Rattus norvegicus: one gene and its partners. The protein of the gene in region 3 interacts with the protein of the main gene of each other region in a biochemical or structural test. Links are inferred from orthologs where the notes say so. Each region holds a gene or a part of one and is shown on either strand. Other genes may lie near its edges.

What was found.
Region 1: of the proteins of H2ac20 (region 3) and Ube2b, one has a biochemical effect on the other in vitro, tested with the Homo sapiens proteins (2 studies listed by BioGRID, with this or other methods). The link is inferred for Rattus norvegicus from reciprocal best matches to the Homo sapiens genes H2AC20 and UBE2B.
Region 2: of the proteins of H2ac20 (region 3) and Rnf8, one has a biochemical effect on the other in vitro, tested with the Homo sapiens proteins (2 studies listed by BioGRID). The link is inferred for Rattus norvegicus from reciprocal best matches to the Homo sapiens genes H2AC20 and RNF8.
Region 4: of the proteins of H2ac20 (region 3) and Mysm1, one has a biochemical effect on the other in vitro, tested with the Homo sapiens proteins (2 studies listed by BioGRID). The link is inferred for Rattus norvegicus from reciprocal best matches to the Homo sapiens genes H2AC20 and MYSM1.
Region 5: of the proteins of H2ac20 (region 3) and Rnf168, one has a biochemical effect on the other in vitro, tested with the Homo sapiens proteins (4 studies listed by BioGRID, with this or other methods). The link is inferred for Rattus norvegicus from reciprocal best matches to the Homo sapiens genes H2AC20 and RNF168.
Region 6: of the proteins of H2ac20 (region 3) and Usp16, one has a biochemical effect on the other in vitro, tested with the Homo sapiens proteins (2 studies listed by BioGRID). The link is inferred for Rattus norvegicus from reciprocal best matches to the Homo sapiens genes H2AC20 and USP16.
Region 7: the proteins of H2ac20 (region 3) and Ubr2 form a complex in vitro, tested with the Homo sapiens proteins (2 studies listed by BioGRID, with this or other methods). The link is inferred for Rattus norvegicus from reciprocal best matches to the Homo sapiens genes H2AC20 and UBR2.

Annotation. Positions count from the first base shown.
Region 1 is NC_086028.1:36,761,143-36,765,278, forward strand, and holds the start of Ube2b (ubiquitin-conjugating enzyme E2 B), read right to left. Parts: upstream 2,802-4,136; 5' UTR 2,726-2,801; coding exon of another isoform or gene 2,701-2,725; coding exon 2,657-2,700; exon of another isoform or gene 473-2,656; coding exon 392-472; exon of another isoform or gene 1-391. UniProt on the Homo sapiens protein: E2 ubiquitin-conjugating enzyme that accepts ubiquitin from the ubiquitin-activating enzyme E1 and transfers it to a E3 ubiquitin-protein ligase. In vitro catalyzes 'Lys-11'-, as well as 'Lys-48'- and 'Lys-63'-linked polyubiquitination.
Region 2 is NC_086038.1:7,700,965-7,704,465, reverse strand, and holds part of Rnf8 (E3 ubiquitin-protein ligase RNF8), read right to left. Parts: intron 2,633-3,501; coding exon 2,525-2,632; intron 1,571-2,524; coding exon of another isoform or gene 1,569-1,570; coding exon 1,364-1,568; intron 1-1,363. UniProt on the Homo sapiens protein: E3 ubiquitin-protein ligase that plays a key role in DNA damage signaling via 2 distinct roles: by mediating the 'Lys-63'-linked ubiquitination of histones H2A and H2AX and promoting the recruitment of DNA repair proteins at double-strand breaks (DSBs) sites, and by catalyzing 'Lys-48'-linked ubiquitination to remove target proteins from DNA damage sites.
Region 3 is NC_086020.1:186,468,248-186,470,646, reverse strand, and holds H2ac20 (H2A clustered histone 20), read left to right. Parts: upstream 1-1,420; 5' UTR 1,421-1,468; coding exon 1,469-1,858; 3' UTR 1,859-1,899; downstream 1,900-2,399. Other genes in the region: Hist2h2be (histone cluster 2 H2B family member E), read right to left, coding at 769-1,149; H2ac21 (H2A clustered histone 21), read right to left, coding at 2,001-2,393. UniProt on the Homo sapiens protein: Core component of nucleosome. Nucleosomes wrap and compact DNA into chromatin, limiting DNA accessibility to the cellular machineries which require DNA as a template.
Region 4 is NC_086023.1:114,918,963-114,922,463, forward strand, and holds part of Mysm1 (deubiquitinase MYSM1), read right to left. Parts: intron 2,965-3,501; coding exon 2,246-2,964; intron 1-2,245. UniProt on the Homo sapiens protein: Metalloprotease with deubiquitinase activity that plays important regulator roles in hematopoietic stem cell function, blood cell production and immune response.
Region 5 is NC_086029.1:81,993,580-81,996,307, forward strand, and holds part of Rnf168 (E3 ubiquitin-protein ligase RNF168), read right to left. Parts: intron 304-2,728; coding exon 1-303. UniProt on the Homo sapiens protein: E3 ubiquitin-protein ligase required for accumulation of repair proteins to sites of DNA damage. Acts with UBE2N/UBC13 to amplify the RNF8-dependent histone ubiquitination.
Region 6 is NC_086029.1:40,194,479-40,197,293, reverse strand, and holds the end of Usp16 (ubiquitin carboxyl-terminal hydrolase 16), read right to left. Parts: intron 1,154-2,815; coding exon 997-1,153; coding exon of another isoform or gene 895-996; coding exon 770-894; 3' UTR 502-769; downstream 1-501. UniProt on the Homo sapiens protein: Specifically deubiquitinates 'Lys-120' of histone H2A (H2AK119Ub), a specific tag for epigenetic transcriptional repression, thereby acting as a coactivator.
Region 7 is NC_086027.1:21,553,116-21,556,616, reverse strand, and holds part of Ubr2 (E3 ubiquitin-protein ligase UBR2), read right to left. Parts: intron 3,498-3,501; coding exon 3,420-3,497; intron 2,374-3,419; coding exon 2,203-2,373; intron 598-2,202; coding exon 496-597; intron 1-495. UniProt on the Homo sapiens protein: E3 ubiquitin-protein ligase which is a component of the N-end rule pathway.

The DNA of each region.
Region 1 (4,136 bases), on a different chromosome or scaffold from region 3:
TACCTGGAGTGACCGTAAAACCATACCATAGCTAGGTACAGTATCAAACTCCCACAATCCCAGCTACTCCTGAGGGCCTAAAGCAAGAGGATCACTGCAGCCCAGTTCAAAATCACCCCGATCAACACTGTAACACCTTGTCTCAAGGGAAAGAAACCAAATTAAACTTAACAGCAAGGAGCAGACCAATTTTATATAAATGTCCCAGACTCAATAAAATGTTTCAGGAGCTGGGTATACAGCTTAGTGATAGGAGCACAATAAGCACAGGAGGCCTATGGTTCTCAAAAAAGTGCCCCCTACCCCAACAAGTGAGCTTCGGATCCACCTCAGCCTCTTTCCTTGGTGCTTATATACTTACTTTTCCTAAGCAGTCGCTATTTCAACTCACCCAAATATAACTGCGTTCCACTGCATGATGTTGTTTTCAGATGGTGCACCACTGACCCCCACAGGTGGGTCCTCTTGCAATCTAGAAATCCAGAGTAGTCATTTTCAGAGTTGAACATAAAGGTCAGTGAGGTCAAATTCTACTGAACCTATTCTGAGAGACTGACTAGACTGACTTATTGTTGGAGCTGAAATGAGCTATGACTTAAAAGAATCAACCAGGTTAATATACTTACTAATACTACCAGTGATCTCTAAGCCCAAAGGACTAGGTGGTCATCCTTCTTCACACAGCAAGATTTAAGATATGATCTCTTGAAGAACTCTTGTTTCCAGACTGCCCTCTTGACCCATTACAAGTTTACAATTTTAGCAATGAAAAATATTTTAGAGAATCTGCAACTACCAGGTGGTAGTGGTGTGCATGCCTTTAGACCCAGCACTTTGGAGGCAGCCTGGTCTACAGAATGAATTCCAAAACAGTCAGGGCTACACAGAAAAACCCTGTCTCAAAAAACCAAAACCAAACACCAAAAACCAAAACCAAACCACACAAAAGCCTACAGTTTTTCTACCTTCATCATGCAAGGATCTCCAGTCCTAACACAAAATCGTAGGAAATCTCCATACACTAAATAACTGAAAAGCATATTCAGTTTAACTAGAAAGCGAACCACACTTTATGGTCTGTGCTTCAGACAGTGGCTTTCTCAAGTAGCCAGAAGCTCCAGCTAGCTTTCCAGCAGTCTCTCTTTTAAAGACACTGCTCTCAGGCCAACTCTACCTTAGGCCTTCATACAAAGTTTCATACAGCACTTTCAACAGACGTCATCATCAATTTCATGTAACCTCAAGATCCTTGGAAAACCACCAAAGGCACCTTGTACTCAATCGGGTACAGAAATTGCAAAAATGAACAAGAGATAATAATGGATGATGTATTAGCCATAATGGCAAGGTTTATTTGCATGCTACAGAGCCAATCAAATATAGTGACTTCAAGCCTTTTGCACCAACAAGGGCATCTCATCTGTCAGATCATAAAAAAAAAAAAAAAAAAGCCTTCCACCATACAAAGTATGTCATGATTTTTAAGTGGACACTTAGCGATCAGTCCACATTAAAAAACAAACAAACAAACAAACAAACAAAAAACCTCAAGCAGATTATGCCACTAACAGGGCTGAGAGGAACGAACTTACTGCCTGATTCCTCAATTTTAAGTGGCTAAAATCAGCAACGAATTAAATGAAGCTGTCCAAGGCCCAAGACCTCCAAATGCCCCAGACAGGGCTTTATAAAGGCAAAGTCGAGCAGTTGCTTCCTGAGAGGCAAATCTAAGTTTTTATAGTACAGATCTGTCTCAATCACAGCGGGTCTGCCCAGAAAGAAAACTTAGAGGAGTATCTTGTCGCTGGATTTCAAGTTACGGTTGCTGCACTTGTACGTTTCCAAGGAGAGGTAAACAACTGGAAGAGGAAGGAGAGGTCATTTTCTTCCTTCAAGCCCCTTATTTCCTATAAACTCCTATTTTCCAAAAGGAGGCCCAGGTGGAGTATCAGATTAGCTCCAGTGTGACGGAAGGCATTTCCCAGGCCGGGGAGGCTATAGATAGGCCTTTATTCGGCAGCCAGATCTTAGTTCCAGAAGGCACTGGCAGCGGAGTGGCTAGCTCCAGGTCCAGGTTTCCCGAGCCAGTTCTCAAGGTCCTTCCAGGTGGGCGGGGGCAGATCGGGTTTCGGGGGATGGGCTAACCACCTCCGGACCTCGCGCAGCAGACCCCACCCTCACCACTGCAGAAAGGGAAAGAGATTTGGGACAGTATTCACCCCAACCCCGCTACAAATAGGAGACCACGGGGCCCTGTAACAAAGCTGGACTGGTCCTCCAGGCGAGGCCAGAACCTCAGGAAAAGCTCCCTAGCACCACCTGCGGAGGGGACACCGCAGGGTGCAGAGGCGGGAGGTGAAGCGTCTGCATTTGGCCTAGGTGGGCCTCTGGGACACCTAGGCCCAGCGATGGCTACCTTCCTACTTTTGGGGGGGGGGGGAGGGCAGGTGGCTATAATACCGAACATCTTTACTCAAACAGAGGGAGGTATGAAGCGAGGGAGTAAGAGTCGCCGGTGAGCCGGGGCTGCCGTGGGTCCCGCAGGCCCACTGCCCCCCTCCTCAGGGTCACCGGGGGAGGATATCCCGGATCCCCGCCCTACAGTCCATAGCTTCGGGAAGAGGCCGTCATATTGGGCTAAGACGAGGGCCCTTACCGCTTGAAATCCCGCATGAGCCTCCTACGGGCCGGGGTCGACATGCTCCGCAGCTGCCCCGCGGTCAGTCTGAAAGAAAAGAGTCCCGTTCGGCCCCCCCACCCCCCGGCGCAGCGGCCGAATCACTGTGGGTCGCCGCCGCCACCGAGACTGCACAAACAACCCTGCAATGACGTCTCCCTCCGCCGCCTCCAGATCCCTCCGCCCTCCGCCAGTACCACCGCTGGGAGGAGGGGAGAGGGGGCGGGGCGAGCGGGCGCGCGCGCGACCCTGGAGGCGCAGGAGGCCGTCTTCGGGGCTTCTTGGCTGTGAGGAACTATGGAAGGTCCTCTCCGTGCCCAGGCTGGACACGGGCCGGCCCGACCGCGCCGGAGCCCACACGCTACCTTGCCTCGCTCCCCCCGTCGCTAGTTTCAAGTTCGGCCGGACGGGGAGAGAGGTGCATCCGGAGCCTGAGATTTCGGGGAGAGGAGGTGGGATGACGTCAGGTCACGTGACCGCTAGCGGCGTTGTCAACAATCCACCCCTGAGGGGGAGGGAGCGAAGTATCTAGAACCACGTGTGCCTGTGACGCCATCAGAACAAGTCACGTGACGGCCTAGCCTGGCTCTTGGTTTCAGGTCTCACAAAGCAGGTCCTTGAGTTTAAGGAGTTGACACCTCTAGTCATACATTATTCTTTTGGTCCCAAGTACTGGGACTTTGCATAAGGAGACATTGTGGAAGAAGCCACTTGGCGTTCTGAGTCTTTAAAACGGAACAAAAAAATCTGGACTTAATTCTGTTTCAAGTGGCTTAGCAACTCTGGCACGTGGGACAGGTACTGAAAGTGTGGCAAAGCCTTGTAATGAACAGCTTTGAATACTATGGTCCGTGCAAATCAGATGGGATTAAGGGCATTTGGATCAATTATAGCCTGTATGGGATTTCCATACTTAAAGTCTATACAGAAATGAGAGTGGAATAGATTGTCCAAGCCTTAAAGACTCCATCTATGGAGTCTTAGAATTGGAATCTGTGATTTTGCCTGCGGTGGGGAACAATTGTATTTCTCAAGAAACGAGTGGGTGTGATTTTTAGGGCATATCAATGGGCTGCTGGTTGTCAAAGAAACCTACCAAAATGATTCAGATCGGGGGAGAGATCATGCAGACATGGGTGGGAGTTATATCTCGAGTCTGAGGTAACTTAGTACAAGCTTTGTACAATAGCAAAGAGGGGCCAAACGGACCGGAAGTGCTCTGTGTGTGTGTGTGTGTGGGGTGATTCTCAGCAGGTTCAGTAGCCTTCACACACACACACACACACACACACACACACACACACACACACCGCCCCGCAAGCTCCTGGAATTCCCAATCTCAGCTTCTAGCACTGATGTTAGTTCTAGGGACCCGAACGGTGGAGTAGATGCGGAATTCTTTAGCTCTAGAAGGGAAAAGAGCATGAGAATCTACTGCTCCACTCCTTCCTATATACAT
Region 2 (3,501 bases), on a different chromosome or scaffold from region 3:
TTTCAAGGGTCAGATCACACTCCTGGACAGGAACTGGCTAAGCACACTGCCTGCTCCGCGCCCACACCACCCGGTCCTGTGTGAGCCTGCTGCCTGCCCCGCTTCACATTGCGGCTGCGTATGAATCAGCAACAGACCCGGCCCTGTGGAAAAGCCGATACCTGTAGGAGGGCTGGGAGGCAAGAAAGCCACGAACGGGACAGCATCTCTCAGCTCAGGAGTACAACCAGGCCACTACCCTGTGGCACGTGCCGGCATCATGGACAGCAGCTGAGTTAATTACCAATTCCCAGAAGGCAGGGGCAGAGCGGGACAGCCACGGGCACCCTGTCTTTTGTGCAGTGGCTCTCTATGCCAGCCCTGCCAACCCAGCAGCTTCCTTGTTTTGTGCTGAGTCTTCTGCTGCAGCATGAAGGGGCGGCTTTCTGCAGCCCTGAACACAGCAAGCCCCACGCGTGACATCACCACTTAAACCAGTGGCCCTCAGCCCGTGGGTCACCACCCTCAAAGACCATCAGAAACACATTTACATTGCGATTCATAACAGTAGCAAACATAGAGATGGTTATGAAGTAGTAACAAAATAATTTTACGGCTGGAGGTCACCACAACAAGAGGGACTATTTTAAAGGGTTGCAGCATTAGGGATGCTGAGAACCACTGACTTAAAGATCAGCGACTCTCGCCATCCCTTCCCCAATGTCTTTACCTCAAGTTCCCTGATGGGGGGAGAAAGGGGGGAGGGGGAGAGGGAGAGGGGGAGGGGGAGAGGGAGGGGAGAGGGGGGGAGAGAGAGAGAGAGAGAGAGAGAGAGAGAGAGAAAGTGTGTGTGGTGTGTGTGTGTGTGTGTGTGTGTGTGTGTGTGTGTGTGAGGGAATAGTGCTAGGGACTGATATTAGTCAAGTACCTTACAGAGCAGTCCCTTACAGAGCAGCCAATGAATGCATTTGCTTCCCTAGGCGAACGTCCCGGGCACACCGCCTGCCATCGCTAGCTGCCTTCAGCAGCAGCACCACCTGGTGTGCAGACAGCAAACCGACGACTGTTCTGGTCCCAGCTTCCCACTGCCCTCCATTCTTCCTTTTTTTTTTCTTCCCCTTCTTCTTTTTTTCGGAGCTGGGGACCGAACCCAGGGCCTTGCGCTTCCTAGGCAAGCGCTCTGCCACTGAGCTAAATCCCCAACCCCAATTCCCTTCTTCCTAAGCGGGCTATCTGAACTCCGTATACTCCCATTTCCCCTGCCTGTACTTCATTCAACAACTATTCACTAAACTCCAATCTCCAACCTCGCCCCGTAAGAATACCTGAGGTAGTTAAATACAAACATCCCTGTTAGGGAGCAGGCGTTGTCAAAGCTCCTCACCTCTTCGTTCCCTAATGAGGACGCTTCTCCTCTCCTTCACGTCTGAGCTCAGGCGTTCCACCATCTTACTGATGCAGTTGTCCAGAACCAGCGAGTTGGTTCTGGACTCAATGTCCTTCCGACAGATGGGACACTCCACTTTCCGCTTCATCCACTCACTGATGCAGAAGGAGCAGAAACTGTGGGCACAGTTCAGGGTGACAGCCTGCAATGTGAAAGGGACATTCTGACTTTCTCAAAGCACAACAGAGCATGAAGGCCCCCAGGGAAGCTCACCGCACCCCACCTCACAAAGGCGCTCTGCCCTGGGTCGGGAGGCTCGCCACCTGCTTCCGTCTCCCTGTCCCGCCTCCCCTAAGAGCAACGCTAAATCTCTCCACAGACCAGAGACTAAGCAGGAAACAAAGACCTATAGCCAGAGTGACTCCAGTCAGCTGGCCTTCCCTCAGGAGGCTGACACACCCAACGCGCATCTGACTTCCCGAAGGTAAACAAACAAACCCTCCCGCTATTCAACTGCAAAAGCGGAACACTCTTAGCATAAGATGAACTGGTTACAAATGGTAGGAAATTTATGGTTGGGGATTTAGCTCAGTGGTAGAGCGCTTGCCTAGCAAGCTCAAGGCCCTGGGTTCAGTCCCCAGCTCCGAAAAAAAGAACCAAAAACAAAAACAAAAAACAGCTGGTATAATAATATGGCAAAGTAACAATAGGAGACAGGTGTTTGCTTTTCAAAAGGACCCTCAAAGCCATGAAATATATTCATTCTGGCGCCCGATGCCCACAGTGACCACCATCAATGGCATTCACTACCCTGCTCCAAGGCCAAACTACAAGTTCACACGCAGCACAGTGCCCGTCCGGGGTAGCACAGTGCCCGTCCGGGGCAGCACAGTGCCCGTCCGGGGTAGCACAGTGCGTCCGGGGTAAGGGAGCAGCAGTGGGCAGGTCCGTTCCAGTACTTCAAACCCTAATGCAAGTCAACGTCTAAGAAGGAAACAGCACAGTGAAGACTGCATGACGTAGTAATAAGTAGCAGCTCTCTCGTCTCTTCAGAATGACCCCCCCCACCCCACCCCCGTGCTAGAGGCTGGTGCACTGCGGTGGGTGGGGGTGGGGGTGGGGGTGGGGGGACGTGGGTGAGCCACCGCTCGTACTTAACTCGATGAAGTACTCTGAGCAGATGATGCACTGGAGCTCGTTCTCCAGCACGTCGTTCATGTGGCTGAGAACTTCCTCCTTCTGTGCTTGGACCTTGTCCTTTTCTTCCTGCAAAGACACAAGACCGCCTGTCACGGGAAACCACCAGAATGCGGGACAGGCCGGGAGCAAGGTTAGCCGAGCACGGCAGTCTCGGCACCTGTGCAAGAATGAAACTCTCCCTGTGGGTCGCCCTTGCCCAAGAGCCGCCTCCTCACAGCTCACCAGCAGTGTGACAGCGTCAGGATGAAGTCCTGAGGTGCTAGGAGGGTGGGCAGACAGGACTAGCAGCCTAGAACAAAGGCTGCATGAACTGGTTCTTCTCTTCCCCCGTGAAGACATAGTGGGAAATATCATCTATGAACCAAAATCATGTCCTTGCCAGACTCCATCCACATCTGCCAGTACCTTCAGGACTCCCAGCCTGCAGAGCTTTGAAAGATACATTCTGGGGCTCACCAGCTACCTGGTTTATCGTACTTGAGCTGCAGCAGCCCGGGTGAACTAAAACCCCACCTTCTCCGTGTCTGCTCCCTATGTGATTTTTGTTCCTTTTCCCAAACAGCCAGGGTGGGTCACAACCTGAGTGATAAAAACTTTCCCTCGAAACTATAATTTCAGGGGCTGGGGATTTAGCTCAGTGGTAGAGCGCTTACCTAGGAAGCGCAAGGCCCTGGGTTCGGTCCCCAGCTCCGAAAAAAAAAAAGAACAAAAAAAAAAAAAAAAAAAAAAAAGAACAAAAAAAAAAAAGAAACTATAATTTCACAGGACAAGAGATAAAGAGCACTCCGGGGGCAGGGGCCTGAGTGTGTAGTTAGTAGCTGTCTTTGAGGACAGAAGAATAAATACTTATCCTGTGATCCCGAGGCTTGGCTGGAAAGAAGTCCTCTTGGGCTCCAACCCTCCAATGTTTGCTTCTGTTCCCGTCTATCCCCGAG
Region 3 (2,399 bases):
AAGAAAAAAATGCTAATTACTGAGTGTGTGGATTAGAAAGATGGCTTCACGGGCCCAGAGAGAAAAGGAACAGTATCCTTGTGGTAACCTGGCATTGCAGCGGTTAACGCAAAGTATTAAATGGGAAGAAAAAAACCCAACCAACCGACCAAACAAACAAACAAGAACCTAAACAGAACAAAACAAGACACGAACAGGGATTCTAAAGTCTGATAGAGAACTACAACAGATTTCTAACGAATCTGCAGCAACGCGAAGCACTCGTGTTTATACATCAGTAAGTCAGAGGGACACCGCCCTAAGCAGCCCTAACCGCTGGTGCCCAGGACACAGCTACTAAAGTCAGAGCAGTTTCAGTTTTAGATGGCTGGTACCCAGCATTCATCAACACAGACTTAGCTGATTAGAAGGCTCTAATCGACAAGGTAAGGAAACCACCTCACTTTAGGTCAAGCAAAAGGCACCGGGACACAACAGACTAGAACACGGAAGCCGGGCCCAGAGACCCACCTCAGTTATCCTAGTCTAAAACGAACTCCAAGAAACTAAGTAGGGTGCAGCTAACTGCAAACCTGATAACCCACAGGGAAACTCAAAACCACAAAGGCTTAATGTCTTGAGTGTACCTTTTCCAAGACCCTTAAAGTAACTTTGGAATAGGAACTAGAAAACTAATGCGAGTGGACAAAGCTCTCTCCTGATTTGAGCGAGTGACTGCAAGAGACTTTAAAGCCCAAAAGGGCCCGGAGCGCTTCATCCAGGAGACCTCTACTTGGCGCTTGTGTACTTGGTGACCGCCTTGGTGCCCTCCGACACAGCGTGCTTAGCCAGTTCTCCGGGCAGTAGGAGACGCACCGCCGTCTGGATCTCCCGCGATGTGATTGTAGACCGCTTGTTGTAATGCGCCAGGCGAGAAGCCTCGTTTGCGATGCGCTCGAAGATGTCATTGACAAACGAGTTCATGATGCCCATGGCCTTGGACGAGATGCCCGTGTCCGGATGCACCTGCTTCAGCACCTTGTACACATAGATGGAGTAGCTCTCCTTGCGACTGCGCTTGCGCTTCTTGCCGTCTTTCTTTTGCCCCTTGGTGACAGCCTTCTTTGAGCCCTTCTTGGGAGCCGGAGCGGATTTGGCCAGTTCAGGCATGATTGAAAGCAAATAGTGGAAAACAGTCTAGTAAGCAGAAAAACAATCAGGGCCCCCGAGGACCTGAGCTCTTTATAAACATGTTATGCAAATTAGGTCTCAAAGTACTTTTAATTTCCATTGGCCCATACGCGAAACTTGCGTTTTCAGTACAAGTCTAAAATTTCAGATTTCATTGGACTTCTCTGGGGCCAAATAACGACCAATGAAAAGCTCCCTCCTGACCCCACCCCTAGGAACGCCTATAAAGGTCTTAGAGCCAACCAACCTAGCTTCATCAGAGTTGTCACTTCAGCTAGTCTTACTCTACATCTTAGTTATGTCTGGCCGCGGCAAGCAAGGAGGCAAGGCCCGCGCCAAGGCCAAGTCGCGGTCGTCCCGCGCCGGGCTGCAGTTCCCAGTGGGTCGCGTGCACCGGCTGCTGCGCAAGGGCAACTACGCGGAGCGCGTGGGCGCCGGCGCGCCGGTATACATGGCAGCGGTGCTGGAGTACCTGACCGCCGAGATCCTGGAGCTGGCGGGCAACGCGGCCCGCGACAACAAGAAGACCCGCATCATCCCGCGCCACCTGCAGCTGGCCATCCGCAACGACGAAGAACTCAACAAGCTGCTGGGCAAAGTGACGATCGCGCAGGGCGGCGTCCTGCCCAACATCCAGGCCGTGCTGCTGCCCAAGAAGACTGAGAGCCACAAGGCTAAGAGCAAGTGAAACTCACTAATCCAAAAAAGGCTCTTTTTAGAGCCACCAAATCTTCATAAAAGGAGCTAACGCGCTAGTTTGTGACCAGCCCTTTGGTTGACACTTTGGTGGCTCTTAAAAGAGCCTTTTTGTGTGGGAAAGGATACTTAAGTTATTTGTTCTTTCCAGGCTTATGACTATCCGTTTTCTTCGGTAGTAAGACAGCCTGGATATTGGGGAGGACCCCACCCTGGGCAATGGTGACTCCTCCTAGTAACTTGTTGAGCTCTTCATCGTTCCTTACAGCTAGCTGTAGGTGGCGCGGGATGATGCGGGTCTTCTTGTTGTCGCGGGCCGCGTTGCCCGCCAGCTCCAGGATCTCGGCGGTCAGGTACTCCAGCACCGCCGCCATGTACACCGGCGCGCCGGCGCCCACGCGCTCCGCGTAGTTGCCCTTGCGCAGCAGCCGGTGCACGCGACCCACTGGGAACTGCAGCCCGGCGCGGGACGACCGCGACTTGGCCTTGGCGCGGGCCTTGCCTCCTTGCTTGCCGCGGCCGGACATGGCGGA
Region 4 (3,501 bases), on a different chromosome or scaffold from region 3:
AATCAAATCCATAAATCTACAAGGTCTACAGAAGGTGAAAATAAGTGTGATAGAGGAGAATATTGTAACTTCCTCAGAAAAGCTGAGACTTCCATGTTTGATGAAAGGAAAGCGAACTATGCAAGCATGACAAAAATATAGGAAAGCGCACAGCTACTAAAGAATGGCAGGAGCCTGGAAAGTGGTTTCATCTGCATCTGTCTTCTCTAATCAACAGGCTTACGCGTGGCTTAGATAGTAAATATTTCTGTTCACCAAAGACTCTAAATCTTCTCCAACAACTAAAATGCCTTCTGTCATCTAAGCACTGTCTTAAGCAGGGGGTACTTGATTAACAGAACAAACAGAACTGCCTTCACATTGCCTGTATTCTTACAGGACTACGGTAGGAGACGATTCACAAAATGGCAGCATTTTCAGTGGTATTAAGTTGTATGACAAAAACAAACAAAGGATGCCAGAATAGGGAAGAGCATCACCACACACATCACTTTCCTTGAGCAGAACCAAAGAGTCAAAGAGCCAGTACCAGAAGCTCTGAAGGAAGAGAAGGTTAAGGCCAGAGTTACAGCTCTTTAAATACTGAATCAACCCGGAAGCTGAAGTCACCTTCACAAGAGAACTGAAGACGGTTTAAATATAACAAACACATGGTATGTGGTAGAATAAGGTAAAATAATGTTATTAACAGTTGACTAACACTTTAATAAAAACATACCCCTAAGTAAAACCAATTGTACCTGTTCTCATGGAAAAGAAAGATCTGTATGTCTCTTTGTTTTTAAAACTTTATCTTCTCTTTTTAAAAAAAAGTACCATCTATATTGTTCTATACTTTATACTTTTTCTTTAAAAACATTTCTTTTGCTTTTATACTTTTCCAATAAATATCTCATACTTAAACAGCAATATCAAATAGGCTTTGTGTATTAAATAAAAGGACTTAGGAAACTACTGCCATATAATCGACACCATCTCTGTAATTTATCCTGCTAATTTAAAATCCAAAATTCAGTGTGACAAACTTTGTCTAAAATAACATTAAATATACACAAGTTGTGACATTTCTGAGGTAGAAATTGTTTTGAAAGTCTTTGATTTTGGCTATCCATCATTTTATTTCCAAAACCAAACCCAGGTATGAAGAGAGATCTAATTTAATCCACATTTAAAAGCTGTCAACTAGGTAATGTAGAGTAATAGAATGAGTGAGTTGGACTGACACCTTTCTTGGGTCAGTGTCTGGTTGAAAGATCAAAGGCAGGTACCCTAAGATCTGAGATCCCATTGCCTATTTCACAGGCCTGTTGTGAAGACTCAAATGAGATGATTCAGGGCAGCCTTCTGTAAACCACAAAGCTCTAGGCAAATGGCAGTTGTTTCTCTTAAGTATTTCTTACTCTAATGACATTCTTAGCCAGAAGATGGTTCTTCAGTGGTCGTGTTGGTGCAAAATCACCATGACACAAAGCCAGAGCAAACATTTTGTGAGAACATGGCTGTCTTTAAAAGCCAAGTAAATTAATGTTATCTAAGTGCAATGAATTATTTAACAATGTACATGTTAATCTTAGGTAGCATTTTAGGTTCTAGCAGAAAGCCACTGAAACAGGACAGAGAAACCTTTGATAGAGGAGAAAACAAAGGACAACACAGAATCCACATCCAAAGATCTGGAAAGCTTTCTAAAACACTAAGAGCATCTATGGATGCTTGAAGGAGCCTTAGTTACTCTCAGTGTATCTAGGCTAATAAGGAGGGTAGTCTTTTGGTTTCCTAAGTAATTGTGTTCATTCCACATTCAAAGTTGCAAGCACTGAAGAGCTATTCAGATGACAATTTCTGTACTATAATCATGTTTAACAATATTTCCTGTCTCTGAGTTTGTCCTTTTTTATTCTCAAATACATGTGAAACTGGAAATTCTCTCCTTTCCCAGGCCAATATGTTCTATAGTTATAGCTTCCCAACACTGCCCCAAGAAACTGCTGCCCCCTAAAAAATATGGCCACTCCCTTCTAGCCAGGCTTCTCTTCTACAGTGGGATGACATGTTGTGATAGCAATGGATGCCCATGCTTATCAAAGTTTTTAAGAGGTTCACTATGAGAAACTTTAAATCATGACTACTGAAGGAAGACATGCAGAAGCTCTTTGAGTCTCTAGCAAATCCACAATTCTGCATGGTCCTAATCTATATGCTTTAGAGTACCAAGTTTTTAGAACATGTACAATGTAATTCTTACCACTGATCCAAAATGTAGTTTCTAATTTTCAAATAGCGTTCTGGTGTTTTAGTTTGACGCCCCTCAAAAAACTCAGGAATTGCTTGCTTTTCTTCTTCTTGAATGACATTTCTATCTATTTCTACTTCTTGTTCCGGTGGCTTAAGCTCTTCTCCTTCATGGTTTTCCTCCTCCACTTGGCAAGGAGGCAAAAGCAGTTCATTTCCACGTGGGTCCTTCTGACCCTCACAGGGCTCTGGAGAAGGTGAGTGCTTGGTTTCCTCTGTTAGCATAGTGTATTCCTCAACCAGTTTACTGTATTTCTCATTTAATTCAACTGAGTTTTTGCCATTATTATTTTGTTTTTCAGCCCATGACATAATTTCTGAGCTTGAACATGCTTCTGCTTCACTTTGCTTCACATTCTGAAGATTTTCTTCTGCAGATTTAGCTAATGAACCTTCTTGGCATAATTCTCCTTGGTTGGTCTTATACATTTTACTACTAGGAACATCTAAAGTAAGATGGCCGCCATAATTCTTTTGTGATGTTTGAGAAGTCAACTCATCCAGCTCATCGGTGATGTCTACATCTTCATCATCAGACAACTTCTCTATTTTTACAGCATTAAGGTTGGGATCTGATGCGACCCACACCTTTGTCCTTTCATCTTTATTTTTAACCTGAAGATCACTGTTGCTCTTCAAAGTTGGTGTTTCTTTCTCCGCACCCCACTTTACCTTATTAAGAACCAAAATAACACACACACATATTATTAAACTAGATTTGAGGTTTAATCACTTTATACAAAAAAATTAGATAAAATGTTTTTAAACTAAGCACATGTTAACAGATATCATACCTTCACTTGCTTAAAAAAAAAAATCTTATAAACTTAATTTAAAAAACGGACAAGTAAATAACATCATACACCAAAGTCTGTAAGTTAGACCCAATTAACCAGACCCAAAGTCTATACATCTCAGTGAATTTCTACAGCTAGAACAGCCATTCTGAACCTGTGGAGCTCCACACTGGATTCCATACTTTCACTCTTGAACATACTTTTATGCAAGTATCTACCACCAAAAATGAAGAATCCTTGACAGAGTTTTGGTGTTTTAGTTTTGTTTGACTAGAAAAGCAGTTAATTTTATATCCTCTTTCATTTTTCATATACATCACCTGCACTCATTCTGTCTTCATTCCCCTTATATCTATCTAGCCTTTCTTGTGCTCCTTTCTATATGTTATATTATACCCACACGTACATTTGC
Region 5 (2,728 bases), on a different chromosome or scaffold from region 3:
CTCTTCGTTTTCTATCTTGGTAGGAGGCTTAACTGCAGCTTCCTTAGAGTTAGAAACTATGGCTCTAGGTCCACCATCATTTACAATACATGAATCATCAGGATTGGTTGACACTGCTTCAGCTTTTCCCTCAAGGCACTGTTCAGCATTCCTTGCACATAGCCATGGCACAGGCATCTCTGTCAAAGGCTCCGGACCTTGCCCTTGAGTTTCTGGGCAGGTCTGAGGAGAATGTGTTGGCATGCTTTCTTCAACGTCTGTGTCTTGCAACACAGGGCTCTTCGTGTCACTACTGTCTGTTTCCTGTAGAAAACAAAATTCCTGAGTATATAAAGGGAAGACATATAAGCCAGCTACACCAGTATCTTATATGAATGGTCACTGGACACAATCACATATTACTAATCAGGGATTCTCATCACCATTGTCGCCCTACCTTTTCTTCTCTTTCTTTTTTAGATTTATGGATGTGAGTACACTGTCACTCTCTTCAGATGCACCAGAAGAGGGCATCAGATCTCATTACAGATGTCTGTGAGCCACCATGTGGTTGCTGGGAATTGAACTCAGGACCTCTGGAAGAGCAGCAGTGCTCTTAACCGCTGAGCCATCTCTCCAGCCCCTTCTCCGACATTTTAAAGATTTTATTTTTAACTATGTGTACAAGAGTGTGCGGCAGGGGAGATGTATGAACACAAGTGCAAATGTCCCCAGAGTCCCTGGAGCTGGAGTGACAGTTGATATAAATGCTGGAAACCACACTAGGTCTTCTGGAAGAGCAGTGAGTGATTTTAAAAACCAAGCCATCTCTCTAGCCCTTCTTTGGTATTTTAATGAAGTGTCTACAAAAACCTCTTCAGAGGAACCGACTTTTTGAGATAGGATCTGGTAACTTATCAAACTGACCTGACTCTCTTGGGTAAGAGATCCTGAGACCCTAGCCTTCCAAGGACAGGACTACAGGCATGTGGCACTGTGCTTCAAGCTTTGTTGTTTCAAGTGTTGATGGGTATCACACTAGGACCCTTGCCACAAGCTAGGTTAGTGCTCTACTTCTGATATCCAGAAAAAACCCTGCAATACATGTCCTGACGAGGGGAATGGTAACAAGGTTATTATTTAAAAACAAACGTGTGAGCTGGGAGTGGTGGGGCATGCCTTTAACTACAGCATTTGGGAGGCCGACAGGTGAATCTCTGTGATTTCAAGACCAATCTGTTCTACATAATGAGTTCCCTGACAACTGATTAAGACCCTGCCTCAAAAACAAACTAACTAAACCCAAAAGTAAGTGTGTAAGAAGAGTTGGTGATGTAGCTCAATTGCAAAAATCCTTGCCTACAATGTAAGAAATCCTGGATTCAAACCCTAGCACCACATAAAACCAGACATGTTGGTATACACCCAGAACTCCAGCACCCAGAAAGTGAAAGTGAAAAGGTCAGTAGTTCAAGGCCCTCCTTGGCTACAGACCCAAGTTAAAAGCCAGTCTAGGCTATGTGAGATCCTGGCTTGTTGTTGTTGTTGTTTTGTTTGTTTAATTTCTTTTCTTTTTAAAAAAAAATTATTTAAAGTATGAGCACTCTGATGCATATACATCCACAGGCCAGAAGAGGGCATCGGAACCCATTACAAATGGTTGTGAGCCACCATGTGGTTGCTGGGAATTGAACTCTGGACCTCTGGAAGAACAACCACTACTCTTAACTGCTGAACTATCTCACCAGCCCCTTTTGTTTAATTTCTTAACCCATAAAAGGTTTTTATTGATAAATAAGATACAGTAGCAAATAAAATCATCTGTATATTAAAGAAGAGAGAAATTTGTAGTAAATATGTTTCCCTTCCTCTCCCTTCTTCTTCCCTTGGTGCTCAGGATCAAAGCTGGACCTCTATGTACAGACTGTATGTATTACTGATTTACACTTCCAGCCCCATTTTGTTTCTCAGGCTCTCCCAAGCCCTGAGTATGCTACCATTCCTAGATAATACCTGTGTTTTCTCTCAATGACAGAGTCACAAGTACTATTACTAGTAACTGGGTGTGTGTGTGTGTGTGTGTGTGTGTGTGTGTGTGTGTGTGTGTCTACATTCAACAATAAAAGAAACACTAATGAGAGATTAGCAAAAATACACCCTTTCAGGCTGTAGGGATGGCTCAGTGGTTAAGAGCTCTGACTGTTCTTCCAGAGGTCCTGAGTTCAATTCCCAGTAACCACATGGTGGCTCAACAACCATCTGTAATTGGATCTGATGCCCTCTTCTGGTGTGTCTGAAGACAGCAACAGTGTACTCATATACATAAAACAAATTAAATCTTTAAAAAAAAATACACCTTTTCTTTTACCTAACCCTTAGGATAAAGAACTTAATTTGCAGGGTTGAAGAGATGAGTCAGTGGCTAAGAAAAGAGGCTTCACATCAGAGGACCTACTGTCATGTAGCTCCACTTCCAAGGGGAACTGTGGCCTTCTTCTGGTCTCCACAGCACCAGCACACAGACATGCACACTTAACAGGCAAAATACTCACAAGACAAAGCTTGAAGTGACTCTGATTGACTTTATTTTTGAAACAGTCTTACCATGTAGTGTAGACCAGCATGGAACTTGCTATATAGCTCAAATCATAATCCTCTGGCTACAGCTCCTGTGTGAAAGGATTATAGGCCCACACCACCCTGCCCCAAAGACACTGACGGGGTTTGAGTGACACCACACCCATGTTTG
Region 6 (2,815 bases), on a different chromosome or scaffold from region 3:
TATTTGTGTTTGTTCTCTGCTGGGTGGTACAATAAACGTGTTACTGTTCTGGCCATCTGATTAACTACTGCTTGTGTCAATGTCAAGTTACTCACATGACTGTTCTCATTATAGATCTGGACTGCTTCTAAAAGCAAACTGCTATGACCATACCATGTATCTATGTTGGCAGTTGCATTCTACAAGGGACAGACAGTTTGAATAGTTGTAACAGAGACCTAAGAGGCTAGAAATCGTTTCTCATTTCCAAAGTTATTTTTCCAATCCCAGTCTGGATTTAAGCTCCAGTAACCTGATACAGTGGCTTATAAATTGGTTTGTCACCATGCCAAAGTTCATAAGCTTTTCAATAATCACTGGCTGACTTTTCACAAGGTTTTGCAGCATAATGTCTAGAGTCACACTGACACCAGGACTTCACATCGCTTCCAGCACTACAGTAGTGAAACATGATGCTGCCAGTAGGGTTACAGTAATAACTTAAAAATTTAATAAAGCACGTTTTGGGAATATCACTTTATTGATGTGTCAAGAACTACCACCCAGTCAGTTTAGTTATTCAAATCTTTCCTAAAGTTGAAACTAGAAAGAGTAAAAACCAGTATGCTAATACAAAAACTGCTGTAAGTTAATTTTGTCTGTATTTAAATAAACATGATTTTTTTCTGTCATTTACTTAGGTGAACATAATTTATAGTTTAACTTTTTATTGTTATAATAGCCAGTATAAAAGCCATAGGCGTATTTCCAGAGAAAACACTTCTTGTCATCACAGTATTCTCTCATAAAATAGGAGATAAGCTTGTGAGTTCAGTACTTTAGTTATAGGCACCGCTTGCACGTGTGTGTCGCTGATGTGAAACCACTGCCCTTTGGTTGACTCCATTTCACAATCTGCCAGGAAACAAAACAAAAGGAAAGAGTCAGGTTTCTTTGGGGGGTGGGGAAGGCTTTGGCATAATATGCAAAATGTCTGGATTATGTAAGATAATTTACCTTGCGGAATGTCACCATGAAGAACAAGATTAGAGAGATGACAGCTTGCAGTTCTTTCCTTTGCGTAGGCAGTGTAATGCCCTGACCTCATAGTGCCACTGTGTTCCACAACTCCATATAAGGAATACAGCACTCTTGTACTTTCCTCAGCAACGTTCTTAAAAAAATAAAAAAGCAAGAATATAATCCAATGTTACTGTCCCATTTACACAGTTGTCTGTGGTAAAACGTGTTCACAGCGTGTCACACCACCTGTCTTCTTAGCCCACAGAGATAATTTATTTCACCTTTATCAAAGTTGCCGTTGATTATTCATGGTGCAAAAACATGGTTAAATGAACAGTTAGATTTGCCAGTTAAAGGCCTCAAGGAAGTAAGTACCTTTATATCTTGGCCATCCTGGTTCTACCACAGTATAAACCTTGTAAGGCTAATATTTAGGTTGTACTTTAAACTACTTGGATTTTGTACATTCCCACCCAGAGTGAAGGCTGCTGAAGACCCTAGGTACCACAGCTCTTGTAACAAATGCATTCCCTCAAGCAGGGACCACTTTCCTTTGTGCTCTTACTGTTTTTGAACAATCCTACTCTGCCCTCTTGGGTAAATTGTGCCTCCACATTCTCTGGATTTTGTTTACATTGCCCCAGAGAGGTATGTGCACTAGTGATTCACATGGGTTTCCAGTGCCATTGCTTTTCAGCCATAATGGACTGGATTTTAAAATCTTAACCCAGTCCAGTATTCTTTTCCTCTCTTCAACTATGGTGTGCTCTTTAATCTCAGTTAAATTCAGTCTTGATTCTCAAGCCTTGGTCTCTTGGGTGTGAGGCTTGTATATCAAAGATACCTGAATTCACTACATCCAAAGCTGACCCCAGTCCTTCTAGCCTGTTTCCTGTACTTCCTATCCTTTTGGGGTTTTTGAGAGACAGTTTGTGTAGCCCTGGGTATCTTGGAACTCACTCTAGATGGGGCCGGTCTCAAACTCTAGAGCTAAGTCTGCCTCTGCCTCTGCCTCTGGGGTGCTAGGATTTAAGGCATCATGCCTGGCCCTATCTCTAGGGCACTCCATGTGTCCATCTAGTCACTCAAGCCTAGATCCAGAAATCCTCAACTGCCCTGCTCAACATCCACTTAAAGGACTCTGCCTCCCTTTCTAGTACCAAACAAGTCTCTTAGGTTTAACTTGGAGAAAACATTTCTTCCTTCCCCTTCTACCTGCCTAAGCTTCATGGCTTTATGGAGTTAAAGTGATTCAGTTCCCTCATTTGCTGCCTTTCCCGTCTCCTCAGATCCAGCTCCCACACTAAAGCAAATAGTCTAGATAACACTCACGTGGGACTGGGTCAAGAAATTGCTGTACCATTCTTCTGTGGCTTACAATTTCATACCTAATAAGGTCAAGTTCCTTGGCATGAACCTCCTCATTCCTATCTTCTTTGGCTTGAAATCCCTGTTTCCTTCTGTGAGCTATAGAACTACTGCTAGTCTCAAGTACTATTTCATATCACAACGTTCCTTTACCTGCTATTGTTTTTAAAACTGGATTCATCACACTATGTTCTTTAAGTGCTTAGGCATGCTCTACTTGGTATGGCCTTCAGAAACACAAACATGCAGAACTTCATAGACTGTATCTGCTCCAGGTATACCTATCTTAACATTAACATATTAAACTGAGACTAGTAATATATCTGCTCAATTTTTTTGTGTGCCCTCAACGTATCAAGACAAGCTCTACCATATAAGAAGTCAAACTAATTTTGTCTGTATGGTGGTTTGAATGAGAATGCCCCTTGTAGGCTCATGTGGTCAA
Region 7 (3,501 bases), on a different chromosome or scaffold from region 3:
TTGACATGTGAGTGGTCATAACCTGTGTGTAACACAGGGAGAAGTCAGAAGTCACCCTCAGGTGTCTTCCTCCTTAGTTACTTGCCAGTGTGTTTCCTGAGAGAGGGTTTCTTGCTCTTTGTCTGAGCTCACTGACGGTGAGGCTGAGGAACACCTCCCTCTCCTGCCATCTCTACCTCCTCAGACTGGGGTCACAAGGGTGCAGCACCACACTCAGCCTTTCGCACATGTCCTGGTGTCCTCAGTCCTCATGCCTGCATGGCACGAGTGTTACCACTGCAGCCTTCTCCCCACCCACTCCTGGCTTCTCCAAGGTAGAAAAAAAAGGAGCCAGGTGCCTCCTTGAAAACCAGAGTCCACCGGCAGCAAGCCACCTTCAACAGAAGCTACGCCTGGGTACCGGCCCAGCTGGCCCTCCCGGCTCATCATGCTCACCATGAAGGAAGGGTTCTTTGGCTTAGGGTCAGTCTTCCTAACCCCAGGCTGGGTCCTTACCTGAGTCCCTGGTCAGTCTCCCCGTAGTCATCAAGGTAAGGAGGAGAATAAAAACAGCCTTTGGTTTTGCCAGCTAAAAATAGCACCTGACATTCCCGTACTCTGTGGAGAGAGCAGTCATCATTGTGCATTTATGTAAGTAACAGGGTGTTACATTAATTCAACTCGAAGAGAAAGGGCTTACGTAGGGAAAAAAATGCATGAGCACCCCGGGTCAGGAGACCGGAGTAACTACAGCAGACACCGGAGAGCAGCAAGGTACCTGCCCAAGTCTGGTGTGGTGCAGGATATCCAATCACACCGTGAACACCATGATTGTGTTACTTACTGAGAAAAACTGTTTCTAGTTGTGGTGCAGCTCAATTTTAGCACACACCTTTAATTCCCGTAGCTGAATAGACATGCCCTTAGCACACACCTTTAATCCCAGAGTTTGCAGAAGGAAACACCCATGTTTGAATGTGATGAGCAGAAAGGTGATGAATCAGAAAGATTTGACAGAATAGGATAGATCTAGTTCTCTCAGGGAGATGAAGGAAAGGGAAGCTACTTAAGAGGCAGAGGGGGCGTTGGGGATTTAGCTCAGTGGTAGAGCGCTTGCCTAGCAAGCACAAGGCCTTGGGTTCGGTCCCCAGCTCCGGAAAAAAAAAAAAAAAAAAAAGAGGCAGAGGGAAGTGAGGGAGGAGGCAGTTTTCCCGAGAGTTTCACAGAGATAGGATGAAAAGAGAATGAGCCAGACAGAGGTGAAGACAGAACAAGCCAGAGAAGGAGAAGGAGCCAGAGATTAGAACAGATCGCCAAAAGGTAGTGTGAGATCAAGCAGAGCAATTCAGAAGCCGAGAGAAGCCAGACTGAATCAGTCAGGGTGGAGGAGTTTGATTGAGTCAGAACAGCTGAGCTGAGCAGCCAGCCAGACCTCAGAAGTAACTGGGAAGGGGTGAGCTTATTCAGCAGTAGGTCTCTGAGGCTGAACACAGTGTAGACCTAGGTTAGATTGTGGAGGGTAGACGCTCTTAGGACTAGGCCTAGGTTAGCAGTAAGCCTCTGGGGGAACAGTTACTCCAGGAAAGTCAGAAACAGTTTTACACAAGTCTTCAGTGGAACCCCGATGCTGGAGTGTACCTGGTAGTGATGTGCTATGAACGCATACAGTGACTTTGTGTCGAGAACCCAGGGCTCCAAGAGTAGAATTTAAAACAGGTAAGTGTGGGAAAGACAGCTAACTTGTAATCAAAATGCTATTAATCTTCCCCCAAATTATGAGAAAATTACGCGTTTTGAAAACTGCACAACAGTTACTAAGTCCTTCCTGTCTGAGTACAGTTCCCACTGACAGCCTGTGACTGCAGGAAAAGCCAACAGCACTGGCAAAGCAGAGGGAAGCTATGCTGGTTTACAGACTCAGGAGGTGTATGTGTAGGTGTGGGAGTCCACAGAGACAGCAGACCCTGAGCAGTTGTGAGCTGCCATGCGGACCCACACGCGGGTCTTCTGCAAGAGCAGCGAGTCCTGACAGGGAGATCGTTACCTGATAGGGGGAGGGAACTGGGGACAGGGTGCTCATATTTAAGGAGACACAGGGGAACTGAGCTGTCAGCGGCCATACGGGCGATGTGAGAGCCACGGCCCTTCATGGTCTGCACACAGTGGCACAGTGGCTTCAAAGTGCCTGTGGCGTTCAGGTGACCAGCACGGCCGAGGCCCTACCTCAGGAAGATGCCGGCCCCAGAGCCGCAGGAGTAGGTGTGTGCTGTGCAGGCCCCGACATCCTCGCCCTCCAGCTCGGCTTGGCAGCAGTAACTCTGAGAGCAGAGGAGACTCCCACATACGAGGCACAGGGTAGGGGCTCTGCTCTTGTCACCACCTGATTTGGGGCACCTGTAAGACAGAGACACGATAGCCAGCAGTGCTACGGAGGAACAGGTACAGAGCACCCTGGAAGATAATCTGTCAGTGCTAACTATCCTGTGACAGGACACTGGGACACACACTAAAACCACGTACCAGAAACACCCAAGGGAGCAACATCGGGGGGACAGGCACACACGAGTACCATGTGAACAACAGGAAAGACTCCGGGGCAGGAAGAGTGATGTCCGCAGTCACGCCCAGATCTCAGATGCAGTGCCAAGTACTGCAGACACAGACAGCCACTTAAATGGACAACTGCTGTCACTCAGACACAGGGAAGGGGAGAGAAGAAACTTCAAATGACAGATTGCATCGGTCAGGATGGCACGTCTGGGCTGTATGCATAAGGGAGCAGACTGAGCAAACCAGTAAGCAGCGTGTGGCCTCTGCCTCAGTTCCTGCCTCCAGGTTCCTATTCTGAGTCCCTGCTCTGACCTCTGTCAGTGACAGACTGCAACCTGTGACCAGGTTAACACTTTCTCCTCCCCATGTTGCTCTGGTCAGTGCTTTATCACATCAGGAGAGTAAATTAGGGCAGAGACTTAGCACAGAACCCAGAATGCTGTGTCTACGGGAAAGGAGGGAGACGCAGGAGATACCCGGAGCTTCAGTCTCACAACAATGCTTGATTTATGATGAGCATCCTCTATGCTGCCTGAGCACGAAGTGCTTAAAAACTCATTAGGAATCACAAACTTAGGGCTGGAGAGATGGCTCAGTGGTTAAGAGCACTGACTGCTTTCCCTGAGGTCCTGAGTTCAATTCCCAGCACCCACATGGTGGCTCACAACCATCTGTAATGGGACCAGATGCCCTCTTCTGGTGTCTGAGACAGAGACAGTGCACTCAATATGGGTAAATAAGTAAATCTTCCCATGGCAGTGACACTGTCCCCATCATGTCATGGAAAGGACTGCTGATCTTTCTCCCCCAGTGAAAACAAAGAGCAGCACAAACCCTCCCTCCGCCTGCCTGCAGAAGGATCTGGGGAGGGCGCTAAGGAAGTAACTTACGAGAAATTGGAAGCTTGGTTGATGAGGCTGCTGTAGTCCTCCGGAAGGTCTATCAGTTTGTTGGCTCCTCTCGGGTAGCTAC